Saccharomyces cerevisiae S288C: one gene and its partners. The gene in region 1 interacts genetically with each later gene. Each region holds a gene or a part of one and is shown in the gene's direction. Other genes may lie near its edges. The genes, in order: RAS2, BCY1 and TPK2.

Region 1 (4,493 bases):
ATGGTTGCTAAGAGATTCGAACTCTTGCATCTTACGATACCTGAGTATTCCCACAGTTAACTGCGGTCAAGATATTTCTTGAATCAGGCGCCTTAGACCGCTCGGCCAAACAACCACTTATTTGTTGAAGAAAAAGCATTATTTATCGCTAGACAACGATACGTCCATCAACAACCGTTAGTTCTTTCACATTGATATGCGGATTACTTATCTGAAGGAAAGGAAAAAGGCGTGGAACAAGTGAGCATTAACATAACCATCTGAAATCTTAGATGATCCCAAGTATGTGTAATTAGATCCGCCTCTTCGCCCAGCACATTGTCCATGCATTATCTGCTTACCTCTACGCGTACCTTGACATGGCGTGTTACGTGTTTCAACTTTGTATAATCAGAATTTCATTTGAGTATATTTTACAAGTCAAAAGCCCAAATGACGTATACTTGAAATAATTGAGGCACGTCCAATTGTGAGTGGCAAACCTTTTTTTCGGTATTCTAGATAGAGCTAATCGCGTATTTGCAATTATAGTTTACAATTCTTAGACGATTTCCGAAGAAAGTTAAAAATGCCCTTGAAAAAAAAATATGTAGGAAAGAGTGCATGCACATGAAGAAGAAAGAAAGAGCTAGGGAAAAAACGAAAAAGGAGCCTAAGGAAAAGAGTTAGGCGTTTACAACAGGACGAACCCGGAAGGAGAAAAGTTTGTAGTCTTGCAGTATCACAAACAGCAACCACGTTCATAGTCTGAAATACGTACAAATGAGTTCACCAGCGAACCTATTCCCTGGATTAAACGACATAACTGACGTGCTGGAGGAATTCCCACTGGCCACCTCCAGATATTTAACATTACTACACGAAATAGATGCAAAATGTGTGCATTCTATGCCGAATTTGAACGAGAGGATAGATAAGTTCTTGAAGAAAGACTTCAATAAAGATCACCAAACACAAGTAAGACTGCTCAATAATATCAACAAGATTTATGAAGAACTGATGCCATCGCTGGAGGAGAAAATGCATGTCTCATCCATTATGCTGGATAATCTAGACAGATTGACGTCCCGGTTAGAATTGGCGTATGAAGTCGCAATCAAGAACACAGAAATTCCTAGAGGTTTAAGACTGGGTGTGGACAACCATCCAGCAATGCACCTCCATCATGAACTAATGGAAAAAATAGAGAGCAAATCAAACAGCAAATCGTCGCAGGCACTGAAGAGCGAATCAAGAAGAGAAGCCATGGCTGCCAACAGGAGGCAGGGCGAACATTACTCCGCCAGCACACACCAACAAGACGACTCAAAGAACGACGCAAACTACGGAGGCAGCAGGCACGAGAGCCAAGACCACACTGGTAACAACACAAACTCAAGAAAAAGAGCCAACGCTGCCAATACCAACAACGCCGATCCAGAGACCAAAAAACGCAAGAGGAGAGTTGCCACCACAGCCGTTTCACCAAGCACTATCAGCACGGCAACTGCCGTCAATAATGGCAGGATAGGTACATCTACAGCGTCCAGGGGAGTTAGCAGCGTCGGAAACAGCAACAACAGCAGGATATCAAGACCAAAAACCAACGACTACGGCGAACCGCTCTACTGCTACTGTAACCAAGTGGCATACGGGGAAATGGTGGGGTGTGATGGCGCAGACTGTGAGCTAGAATGGTTCCATTTGCCATGTATTGGACTCGAAACTCTACCTAAGGGCAAGTGGTATTGCGACGACTGCAAAAAAAAACTGTGAAATAGCTCTCGGGCGAATATCGCCTTAAGGAAATATCTACTAAATACCGAATATATACATATATATATATCTTAGCTACATATATATATATCTTAGCGTTTTAACGGGCGTGGCCGTATCAATGGATCTGCAAGATACTTGGGCCCTACCGGTCTAGATAAAATATTCAAATCGATGGTGATGACGGCACGATAAAACGTAATAAATGATGAAATGACTTGTCACGGCGTAGCAGCGCCAGCAGCTCAGTCTAATCGCCGTACAGTGGGTGGTGTGGCTAATCGCTTAGGCTTTTTATTCAGAAGGACCTTTTCATTCACCTCGCCCCCCTTGGAGGTTCCTGCCTGACCCCTTTGCCCCTGGCCTCGCCCCTGCGCCATGTCTCTGCCTGGAGCGTGACATTTAGGACGGTGAAGCTAGGCAGGCCTTCAGAAATTAAACGGAACATGACAGCAAAGACGAAACAAAGCTGGAATAAGGGGATCTGGGAAAACGGGAAACAAGGTTCACATCAGCAAACATTTCTACCGAAAATCTGGGTAAACATTTATAGTACCCCAACATCTTAAGTTTTAGCCGTTGTCTTCTCTTATCGCCTAGAATCGCTCATTTCAAGCGTAACGCAATCCGGCTTTTGTTTTTTTTCCATTTTATTCATCCACTCTTTATCTGACTCTTCTGCACTATATTAATCAACTAGGAGAAAATTACTTGAGCAGAAAGATACGAGAGAATTACGGATAAAAAAACCAAGTTAACCGTTTTCGAATTGAAAGGAGATATACAGAAAAAAAAATGCCTTTGAACAAGTCGAACATAAGAGAGTACAAGCTAGTCGTCGTTGGTGGTGGTGGTGTTGGTAAATCTGCTTTGACCATACAATTGACCCAATCGCACTTTGTAGATGAATACGATCCCACAATTGAGGATTCATACAGGAAGCAAGTGGTGATTGATGATGAAGTGTCTATATTGGACATTTTGGATACTGCAGGGCAGGAAGAATACTCTGCTATGAGGGAACAATACATGCGCAACGGCGAAGGATTCCTATTGGTTTACTCTATAACGTCCAAGTCGTCTCTTGATGAGCTTATGACTTACTATCAACAGATATTGAGAGTCAAAGATACCGACTATGTTCCAATTGTGGTTGTTGGTAACAAATCTGATTTAGAAAACGAAAAACAGGTCTCTTACCAGGACGGGTTGAACATGGCAAAGCAAATGAACGCTCCTTTCTTGGAGACATCTGCTAAGCAAGCAATCAACGTGGAAGAGGCGTTTTACACTCTAGCACGTTTAGTTAGAGACGAAGGCGGCAAGTACAACAAGACTTTGACGGAAAATGACAACTCCAAGCAAACTTCTCAAGATACAAAAGGGAGCGGTGCCAACTCTGTGCCTAGAAATAGCGGTGGCCACAGGAAGATGAGCAATGCTGCCAACGGTAAAAATGTGAACAGTAGCACAACTGTCGTGAATGCCAGGAATGCAAGCATAGAGAGTAAGACAGGGTTGGCAGGCAACCAGGCGACAAATGGTAAGACACAAACTGATCGCACCAATATAGACAATTCCACGGGCCAAGCTGGTCAGGCCAACGCTCAAAGCGCTAATACGGTTAATAATCGTGTAAATAATAATAGTAAGGCCGGTCAAGTTTCAAATGCTAAACAGGCTAGGAAGCAGCAAGCTGCACCCGGCGGTAACACCAGTGAAGCCTCCAAGAGCGGATCGGGTGGCTGTTGTATTATAAGTTAATAAAAAGGAAATAGTTGTAGAAACGCTAAGACGAAAAGAACTCTATAAAGTTGAAACGAGTACACACATTTATAAATATATACAAAAGTAAATAAAAAAGTGACTGTTTTTATATTGCTTATTGCCATTTGCTATTTCCGTTTCATTCTTGTTAACATTGGAAACTTTGGGCAATATCATATGGTTGCCGGGTAAAGGAAAAAACAAACAACATCGCTATAACATAAAATTGGACATTGCAGAGAGTCATCAATCACATCCATTTTCACAAGAAAGAGGTGTTCCACCTGGAATAACAAGCTTCTCTTTCCCCTTAGAATGACATCTAAAGTTGGTGAATATGAGGACGTTCCAGAGGATGAGTCCCGCCTCACAGAAGAGAACGTATCCGTACCTGAAGAAGAAGTAGAAGACGAAGACGAGGAAGAAGACGACGATGATGATCATATATATATCAATGAAGAAACAGAATCTGGTCGCGAAAAGGTCTTGGTATCACATGCCCCACAAGAACGTATCGTTCCACCTTTGAATTTCTGTCCCGTTGAAAGATACCTCTATAGATCTGGTCAGCCTTCACCTGTGAATTTCCCCTTTTTACTAAACCTAAAACTGAAAACAATTATATGGCTGTCTAACGAAGAACCTCAAGATACCCTCCTAGAGTTTTGTGATACTCATAGAATAAACTTACAATTCGCAGCCATCAACCCGGATGCCGGTGAGGACGATAATCCATGGGACGGTCTCACTGAACATTCTATAATTAATGTACTACAAACGATCGTCACTCAAGAGAATTATCCCTTGCTAGTGTGCTGTGGTATGGGAAGACATAGGACTGGGACAGTCATTGGATGTCTCAGAAGAATAATGGGTTGGAACTTAGCCAGTGTATCCGAAGAATATAGACGCTTTACTGGTAGCAGAGGTGGTAGAATTCTTGTAGAGTTGCTTATAGAAGCTTTCGACAC
Region 2 (3,600 bases), on another chromosome or scaffold:
AAACCATGAGGTTTGTTTGATAAGAAATGAGTATGAATTTGCGGACTTTCATCATCATTAGTAGAAAGTTTAGTTTTTTTAAGTCTTAAAGAGTCGAATGCATTTTTAGTGGAGTTTATTGCCCTTTCCATGTTCAATGAAGGTGATGACGAAGAAATAGGATGAATCAGATGTTTTAGTCTTTCCAAAATCTGCTCTTTATGATCTAAAATTTCGACTTTTATCGACGAAGAATATGACATCAACAGGAATCTTTTAATAGACTTTATTTTTTTATTTGAAGCGGAGCTTGCAGTGGACCATATCAAGATGTTCGTGTTAATGTTGATTGAAGAGTTATTCACGTCTAGTATCATCTTGACCTTTTTCAGATCTTTTAAAATTATAGCCATAAAAGAGTTCTTCTTATCTAAAATTATCAATTCAACATCATCAAGCAGATTAACTTGTGAATTGTAGATCACCGATTGTTGAAAATACAATGAAAATTTCGGATGATTATGATCTGAGACAAAAGTCATTATGCATGGTGCTTTATGCCGATAAATTCGCAATGTTTTCGAATCAACGCAAGAAAATTGGCCGTTCAAATTTAGTTTAGTGGAAATAATTGAGCCATTTGGAGAAGTGCTCGCTACTGCCGGTTCCGGTGAACCATTCCCCAGATTATTAGACATTTGGAACAAAAGACCATTGGAAGTGCTTTTGAGTGATGAGTGTCTTTTCAAAGGAGAGCTTTGCAAAGGTTCAAAATCTTGATCTGAACAGCCACTGTTGACGCCTTCACCTTCATCATTATTATCAACATCATTATCCGACAATTCGATCTGCCTCTTACTCTCGCTGTTCATACTCAAAACTGGTAAGAAATCCTTTGTAGAAGCATTGTTTAGATGATCAACGATTTTCGGATCCTTACGAAAAGTGTTATATCTTTTGGGCGGTAGAGAAGCAGAGGACCTTGGAGAGCTGGCACGAGAGCTGTTCAAGGTGTCTAGCGGTTTGAGACTATTAAACTTGCGTTTTCTGGCAGACATATATGTGGGGTTTGATGTGCAATAAACATAGATATACGTGTATTATTGCACCTGGGTATGGGGTATACTGTGTAGTGTCCTTTTATCCCGCTCTTTATTTCTCTCTCTAAGAAGAAACGAATACACTGTAATGTAATTGGTTGTGATGTTTTATCTCTCTCTGATGACGTGATATCTTTTATGTTGTTTCACGATGTTCTCTTATTGTATTGTATAATAGTTTCTCTTAGTAGGAAGATAGAAAAAGGACAAAGAAGGCAAAGAACCAAATGTCATTTCTAACGACACGGCACGTGATTACTGATCTGATAATAAATGAAACAAGCCATACGTGAGAAAGTAAAAAAAAAAAGGAGGAGGGAAAAGAATACGAGTGGAAAATATAAAGGACTTTATATACTTTTCAGATTAGCCGCCGACGATTTTACTTACTCAGCTTTTTTCTATCTTTCAAAACGCTCAAAAGAGGAGCATACGACTTCGGCGGCTAATCTTCACCCAAGAAAAAAAAAGCGCATGCCACCACGACGAGCGGAAAAAAACAAAGCACCCAATCACCACCCTTCCTTCTTTCTTCGTGTTATACCCGCCACTTTTGTTCTGCCTGATAATATATTGATTATACTGTGCTCGGATTCCGACCTCTTCTTTGTTGCAGAAGCCATAAGCTGAACTTATTGCATTTGCTCAAGTGCATTTATTATGGCGCCGCGCCGCCGCTCTCCAAAATTCTTGTCCTTCCTCGTTTTGCTGGCAAGGAGCAAAACGAAGAGGAAGGTAGAAAAGAGAAAATTTGAACAAACAGGGAAAAGGGAAAGAGAAAAAGGGACACTTTACGCTTTCCTCGACTAAGTCAAGCGATCGCTATCATCACATCCATTACACGCATTTCACGCATACATAAATAGGAAGATCATTTACAACAAGCAGATTATTTTCAAAAGACAACAGTAAGAATAAACGATGGTATCTTCTTTGCCCAAGGAATCGCAAGCCGAATTGCAACTGTTCCAGAACGAAATCAACGCCGCTAATCCGTCCGACTTTCTTCAGTTCTCCGCCAACTATTTCAATAAAAGGCTGGAACAACAGAGAGCGTTCCTCAAGGCCAGGGAGCCTGAATTTAAGGCAAAGAACATTGTTCTATTTCCGGAACCAGAGGAGTCATTTTCCAGACCTCAATCAGCTCAATCTCAATCAAGATCCAGATCGAGTGTTATGTTCAAATCCCCCTTTGTGAACGAGGACCCACACTCCAACGTGTTTAAAAGTGGGTTTAATTTAGACCCGCACGAACAGGACACTCACCAGCAAGCACAGGAAGAACAACAGCATACTAGAGAAAAGACATCAACTCCTCCACTCCCAATGCACTTCAACGCCCAAAGGCGTACTTCTGTTAGTGGTGAGACCTTACAACCAAACAATTTTGACGATTGGACTCCAGATCACTATAAGGAAAAGTCCGAGCAGCAATTGCAAAGACTGGAAAAATCGATCCGTAATAACTTTCTGTTCAACAAGCTGGATTCCGACTCAAAAAGGCTGGTCATAAATTGTCTGGAGGAGAAGTCCGTCCCCAAAGGTGCTACGATAATCAAGCAAGGTGACCAAGGGGACTACTTCTATGTCGTCGAAAAGGGTACTGTTGACTTCTACGTCAACGACAACAAGGTCAACTCTTCCGGGCCAGGCTCCAGTTTCGGGGAACTTGCTCTTATGTACAACAGCCCTCGTGCTGCCACCGTTGTAGCAACCTCCGACTGTTTGTTGTGGGCTCTAGACAGGCTCACCTTCAGAAAAATACTTTTGGGCAGCTCTTTCAAGAAGAGACTCATGTATGACGATCTTTTGAAGAGCATGCCAGTTTTGAAGAGTTTGACTACGTACGACCGTGCCAAACTTGCCGATGCACTGGATACCAAGATCTACCAGCCGGGTGAAACAATCATTCGCGAGGGTGATCAAGGGGAGAACTTTTATTTAATTGAGTACGGAGCTGTGGACGTCTCTAAGAAGGGCCAAGGTGTCATAAATAAACTGAAAGACCATGATTATTTCGGTGAAGTGGCCTTGCTAAACGATTTGCCCAGACAGGCCACTGTGACTGCTACAAAGAGAACCAAAGTTGCCACATTGGGGAAAAGTGGTTTTCAACGTTTACTGGGTCCTGCAGTAGACGTATTAAAGCTCAATGATCCTACAAGACATTAAGTAAAAAGGGGAAGCGATCTTAAATCCACATGAATTTCCTTTCTCTTTTTCTTCTTCTTCTGTTCCCTTTTTCTTTCTTCTTCCTTCAACGTCTACGTAAATATAATGTATAACATCTCCACTTTCCTTTCCCTTATAGCGTTATGTTACCTGTTTAAACTCTAAATTCTTCATCTACTACTGCTGTTACTACATGTATATATGTTCATTTTTTTTTTTTTTTTTCACCACGGAAAACGTAAAAATGAGAGCATTTGTAACAAATAAAGGAGAACTGTTCAATCAAGTGACATACAAAAACTCTCTCCAACTCTACAATCACCACCGTAATGTCTGATGCTCAATTCGA
Region 3 (5,007 bases), on another chromosome or scaffold:
GCTGGAATCGATCAGGTCCAGACATCCTCAATTGGACTATGAGTCCCGCGTCTACAGATACTTAAGCGGTGGTGTGGGAATCCCGTTCATCAGATGGTTTGGCAGAGAGGGTGAATATAATGCTATGGTCATCGATCTTCTAGGCCCATCTTTGGAAGATTTATTCAACTACTGTCACAGAAGGTTCTCCTTTAAGACGGTTATCATGCTGGCTTTGCAAATGTTTTGCCGTATTCAGTATATACATGGAAGGTCGTTCATTCATAGAGATATCAAACCAGACAACTTTTTAATGGGGGTAGGACGCCGTGGTAGCACCGTTCATGTTATTGATTTCGGTCTATCAAAGAAATACCGAGATTTCAACACACATCGTCATATTCCTTACAGGGAGAACAAGTCCTTGACAGGTACAGCTCGTTATGCAAGTGTCAATACGCATCTTGGAATAGAGCAAAGTAGAAGAGATGACTTAGAATCACTAGGTTATGTCTTGATCTATTTTTGTAAGGGTTCTTTGCCATGGCAGGGTTTGAAAGCAACCACCAAGAAACAAAAGTATGATCGTATCATGGAAAAGAAATTAAACGTTAGCGTGGAAACTCTATGTTCAGGTTTACCATTAGAGTTTCAAGAATATATGGCTTACTGTAAGAATTTGAAATTCGATGAGAAGCCAGATTATTTGTTCTTGGCAAGGCTGTTTAAAGATCTGAGTATTAAACTAGAGTATCACAACGACCACTTGTTCGATTGGACAATGTTGCGTTACACAAAGGCGATGGTGGAGAAGCAAAGGGACCTCCTCATCGAAAAAGGTGATTTGAACGCAAATAGCAATGCAGCAAGTGCAAGTAACAGCACAGACAACAAGTCTGAAACTTTCAACAAGATTAAACTGTTAGCCATGAAGAAATTCCCCACCCATTTCCACTATTACAAGAATGAAGACAAACATAATCCTTCACCAGAAGAGATCAAACAACAAACTATCTTGAATAATAATGCAGCCTCTTCTTTACCAGAGGAATTATTGAACGCACTAGATAAAGGTATGGAAAACTTGAGACAACAGCAGCCGCAGCAGCAGGTCCAAAGTTCGCAGCCACAACCACAGCCCCAACAGCTACAGCAGCAACCAAATGGCCAAAGACCAAATTATTATCCTGAACCGTTACTACAGCAGCAACAAAGAGATTCTCAGGAGCAACAGCAGCAAGTTCCGATGGCTACAACCAGGGCTACTCAGTATCCCCCACAAATAAACAGCAATAATTTTAATACTAATCAAGCATCTGTACCTCCACAAATGAGATCTAATCCACAACAGCCGCCTCAAGATAAACCAGCTGGCCAGTCAATTTGGTTGTAAGCAACATATATTGCTCAAAACGCACAAAAATAAACATATGTATATATAGACATACACACACACATATATATATATATATTATTATTATTATTTACATATACGTACACACAATTCCATATCGAGTTAATATATACAATTCTGGCCTTCTTACCTAAAAAGATGATAGCTAAAAGAACCACTTTTTTTATGCATTTTTTTCTTCGGGAAGGAAATTAAGGGGGAGCGGAGCACCTCTTGGCCAATTTGTTTTTTTTTTATGTAATAAAGGGCTAACGATCGAAGATCAATCACGAATATTGGACGGTTTTAAAGGAGGGCCTCTGAGAAGACAGCATCAATTCGTATTTTCGATAATTAACTTGCCTTATAGTGTCTGATTAGGAAACAATCACGAGACGATAACGACGGAATACCAAGGAAGTTTGTGCAAATATACAGCCGGCACAAACAGCAGCTTCACTCAGGTTAACTCACATACTGTTGAAAATTGTCGGTATGGAATTCGTTGCAGAAAGGGCTCAGCCAGTTGGTCAAACAATCCAGCAGCAAAATGTTAATACTTACGGGCAAGGCGTCCTACAACCGCATCATGATTTACAGCAGCGACAACAACAACAACAGCAGCGTCAGCATCAACAACTGCTGACGTCTCAGTTGCCCCAGAAATCTCTCGTATCCAAAGGCAAATATACACTACATGACTTCCAGATTATGAGAACGCTTGGTACTGGATCTTTTGGTAGGGTTCATTTGGTGCGCTCTGTTCACAATGGTCGGTATTATGCTATAAAAGTTTTAAAGAAACAACAAGTTGTCAAGATGAAACAGGTTGAACATACCAATGACGAACGACGTATGCTAAAGCTTGTGGAGCATCCGTTTCTGATTAGAATGTGGGGTACGTTTCAAGATGCTAGGAATATCTTTATGGTGATGGATTATATCGAAGGTGGTGAACTTTTCTCGTTACTGAGAAAGTCACAAAGATTTCCTAATCCTGTAGCAAAATTTTACGCTGCGGAAGTCATACTGGCATTAGAGTACTTGCATGCTCATAATATCATCTACAGGGATTTAAAGCCAGAAAATATCTTGCTGGATAGAAATGGCCACATTAAAATAACCGATTTTGGGTTCGCCAAAGAGGTACAAACTGTCACATGGACGCTTTGTGGGACTCCTGATTACATTGCTCCTGAAGTTATTACCACAAAGCCATATAATAAGTCGGTGGATTGGTGGTCTCTAGGTGTTCTAATCTACGAAATGTTAGCTGGTTATACACCCTTTTACGATACTACTCCAATGAAGACGTATGAAAAGATTTTACAAGGTAAAGTAGTATATCCACCATATTTTCATCCCGACGTCGTGGATCTACTAAGCAAACTGATCACTGCAGATTTGACAAGAAGAATCGGTAATTTACAAAGCGGTTCCAGGGACATCAAAGCTCACCCATGGTTTAGTGAAGTTGTATGGGAAAGATTGTTAGCAAAGGATATTGAAACTCCATACGAGCCTCCTATCACATCAGGTATCGGTGACACGTCTTTATTCGATCAATATCCCGAGGAGCAGCTAGATTATGGTATTCAAGGCGATGATCCATATGCTGAATACTTTCAAGATTTCTAAGTTCCATGAACCAAAAAACACAAAAACAATTTTCAAGTACTTTCTCTCACTCCTTTTCCTTTCTCTTTTTTCCTCCACCAAAATCTGGCGCACTTTCTTTATATTTTACCTAACGGATGCCTTATTTGTGGTCTGTTTTAAGCTAGTTCATATTGTAAAAAAAGAAAAAGAGATGAGAAGAACAAGCGTTGCCCTAAATATCTTCTATACTACAATTCATTTTAATTCAATATCATATTTAAGTTGAGGGCATTTAGATCTTAGAGATTCATCTAAAAATAGGAGGGGTGATGTATAGAAAATGTTCGAATATCATTCCTCTGCTTTTTTCTATATGATTATTTCCTATATGAGCTTTTACTTACTGATCTCATGATCTCAGTGCAAAAATTAGGGGACCGGCACGCCTGAAAGTTTTTTAGATAATTGAATGTTGCGGTGCATTACCTATGAAAAGATGAAGCGCACGTGAACCATATTATAATCAACAAACTTGAAGAATAAAACTTTTGAGCGCATGAAGCCATGATATATCTTATTTGTATCGACATGCTTTAAGTCCTCCGTAGCTTTAAAAAGTCTAAGGTCCAAAATCCCTCGATGGTGCTGATATCACCATTATTCATGTCCATCAGATCTTGTCACATATTTAAACGTGATACCGTTTTAATGAGTTGAAAACTAAATAATTAATATTTTGATATTAAGGCTGGGTCAATAGAATTTAATTCATTAAAATGCTCATCGTTGAAATGAAGCAACGCTTCGTAGTTGTAGTTTAACATGCCAAAATTTTCGTTTCTCTCTTTGCCTAAGTTCGTAGCAATATCTGTATCAGCAGTTGGTGCGTTGCTTTTGGTATCTTTGGAAACTTTAATGATCTCATCTCCATAAGGAGCGTCTGTTTCCATAAAATTTGGTGAAGATGTTGTTGATTCTGACAGGGCTATATCCATTTTGCTTTGTGACAAGGGCCTCGTTGGTGTTGAAGGAAGTATACAAGAAGAGGACGAAGGACCTGGTGTAGGTTCTGTCAAAAGTTCCATCAGGCCTTGGTTGTAATTTTGGATGAAATTGTCGTTGCAAAACATGTTCGTAAAATCAATTTCGTTTAAGTTCGTTAAAGAATCTTCTTTCTCTATCTTTACACAGGAATTCCGCGTTTTGAAATTGTCTAAAAATCCGGTATCATGTAGATCCGCATCCAACTTCGTTTTCAACCTTGGCCTAGGTTTCGAATTATCCATCTGTCTGGATTTTATTTTAGAAACGGAGTTTTTATTTGTTTTGAGCAAATTTTTTTTAGACGTCAAAGGGGGGTTTGATAGTGGGAGAAAAATGTTATTGAAAGCTTCAATTTCCTTGGTTAACCCACAGTCACAAGAAATAATTGGTGTGACGAGTGGTAAGTTTAGACTTGCTTTATATTCTAATTCATCAAATGTTTTGATGGCTTTTTCGTCGTTCTTCTGACGAAGATTTTCCTTAAACTTTTTATAGTCATCCGTTTTAGTAATCAAATCAAATCTCAGCTCATGTGAATGTATGTTATTCATAACAACCACGTTCCACTTCTGTAACCGCACAGAGTAGGCTGCTCTAATTCTAAATGGACATGCATGGGATCTTGAAGAGGAACCTTTGGATTTAGGGTTCAACCCTACTTTCGATCGTACTGACCTACACTTAAAAGTAACTTTGCTACTATCTGATCTTTCGATGACTATATCTATTCCTTGAGGATAGAATATTTTCTGTAGCCACGGTTTAATCTCGTGCCTGTCCTCAAAAGACGGAACTGGGTCTAAATGAATAAGTTTATTTTGGTCTTTAGACATCATAGATGCTAGATTATCGGGAGATGCTGTTAACTTCATTTTCCCTGTTTTAGACACTGATATTGGCACAGATATTATGCTCTTCATCGACTTTGCTTTCATTTCTTGGGGGTCGCTTTCTCTTGATTAATTTGCGCCAGAGTTTCTGGTCACTACAAC

Evidence for each region.
Region 2: of RAS2 (region 1) and BCY1, a mutation in one rescues a mutant of the other (synthetic rescue), as found in Saccharomyces cerevisiae (6 studies listed by BioGRID, with this or other methods).
Region 3: of RAS2 (region 1) and TPK2, extra expression of one rescues a mutant of the other (dosage rescue), as found in Saccharomyces cerevisiae (5 studies listed by BioGRID, with this or other methods).

What each region holds. Positions count from the first base shown.
Region 1 is NC_001146.8:438,628-443,120, reverse strand, and holds RAS2 (Ras family GTPase RAS2), read left to right. Parts: upstream 1-2,550; coding exon 2,551-3,519; downstream 3,520-4,493. Other genes in the region: PHO23 (Pho23p), read left to right, coding at 763-1,755; PLS1 (Pls1p), read left to right, coding at 2,202-2,324; putative tyrosine protein phosphatase OCA1, read left to right, coding at 3,838-4,493. UniProt on the Saccharomyces cerevisiae protein: The S.cerevisiae Ras proteins modulate the activity of the adenylate cyclase catalytic subunit and therefore affect the biosynthesis of cyclic-AMP.
Region 2 is NC_001141.2:290,070-293,669, reverse strand, and holds BCY1 (cAMP-dependent protein kinase regulatory subunit BCY1), read left to right. Parts: upstream 1-2,000; coding exon 2,001-3,251; downstream 3,252-3,600. Other genes in the region: SUMO protease ULP2, read right to left, coding at 1-1,037; CAP2 (F-actin-capping protein subunit beta), read left to right, coding at 3,581-3,600. UniProt on the Saccharomyces cerevisiae protein: Regulatory subunit of the cyclic AMP-dependent protein kinase (PKA), an effector of the Ras/cAMP pathway. Inhibits PKA activity in the absence of cAMP. cAMP activates PKA and promotes growth and proliferation in response to good nutrient conditions.
Region 3 is NC_001148.4:164,389-169,395, forward strand, and holds TPK2 (cAMP-dependent protein kinase catalytic subunit TPK2), read left to right. Parts: upstream 1-1,867; coding exon 1,868-3,010; downstream 3,011-5,007. Other genes in the region: serine/threonine protein kinase HRR25, read left to right, coding at 1-1,372; AFT2 (Aft2p), read right to left, coding at 3,700-4,950.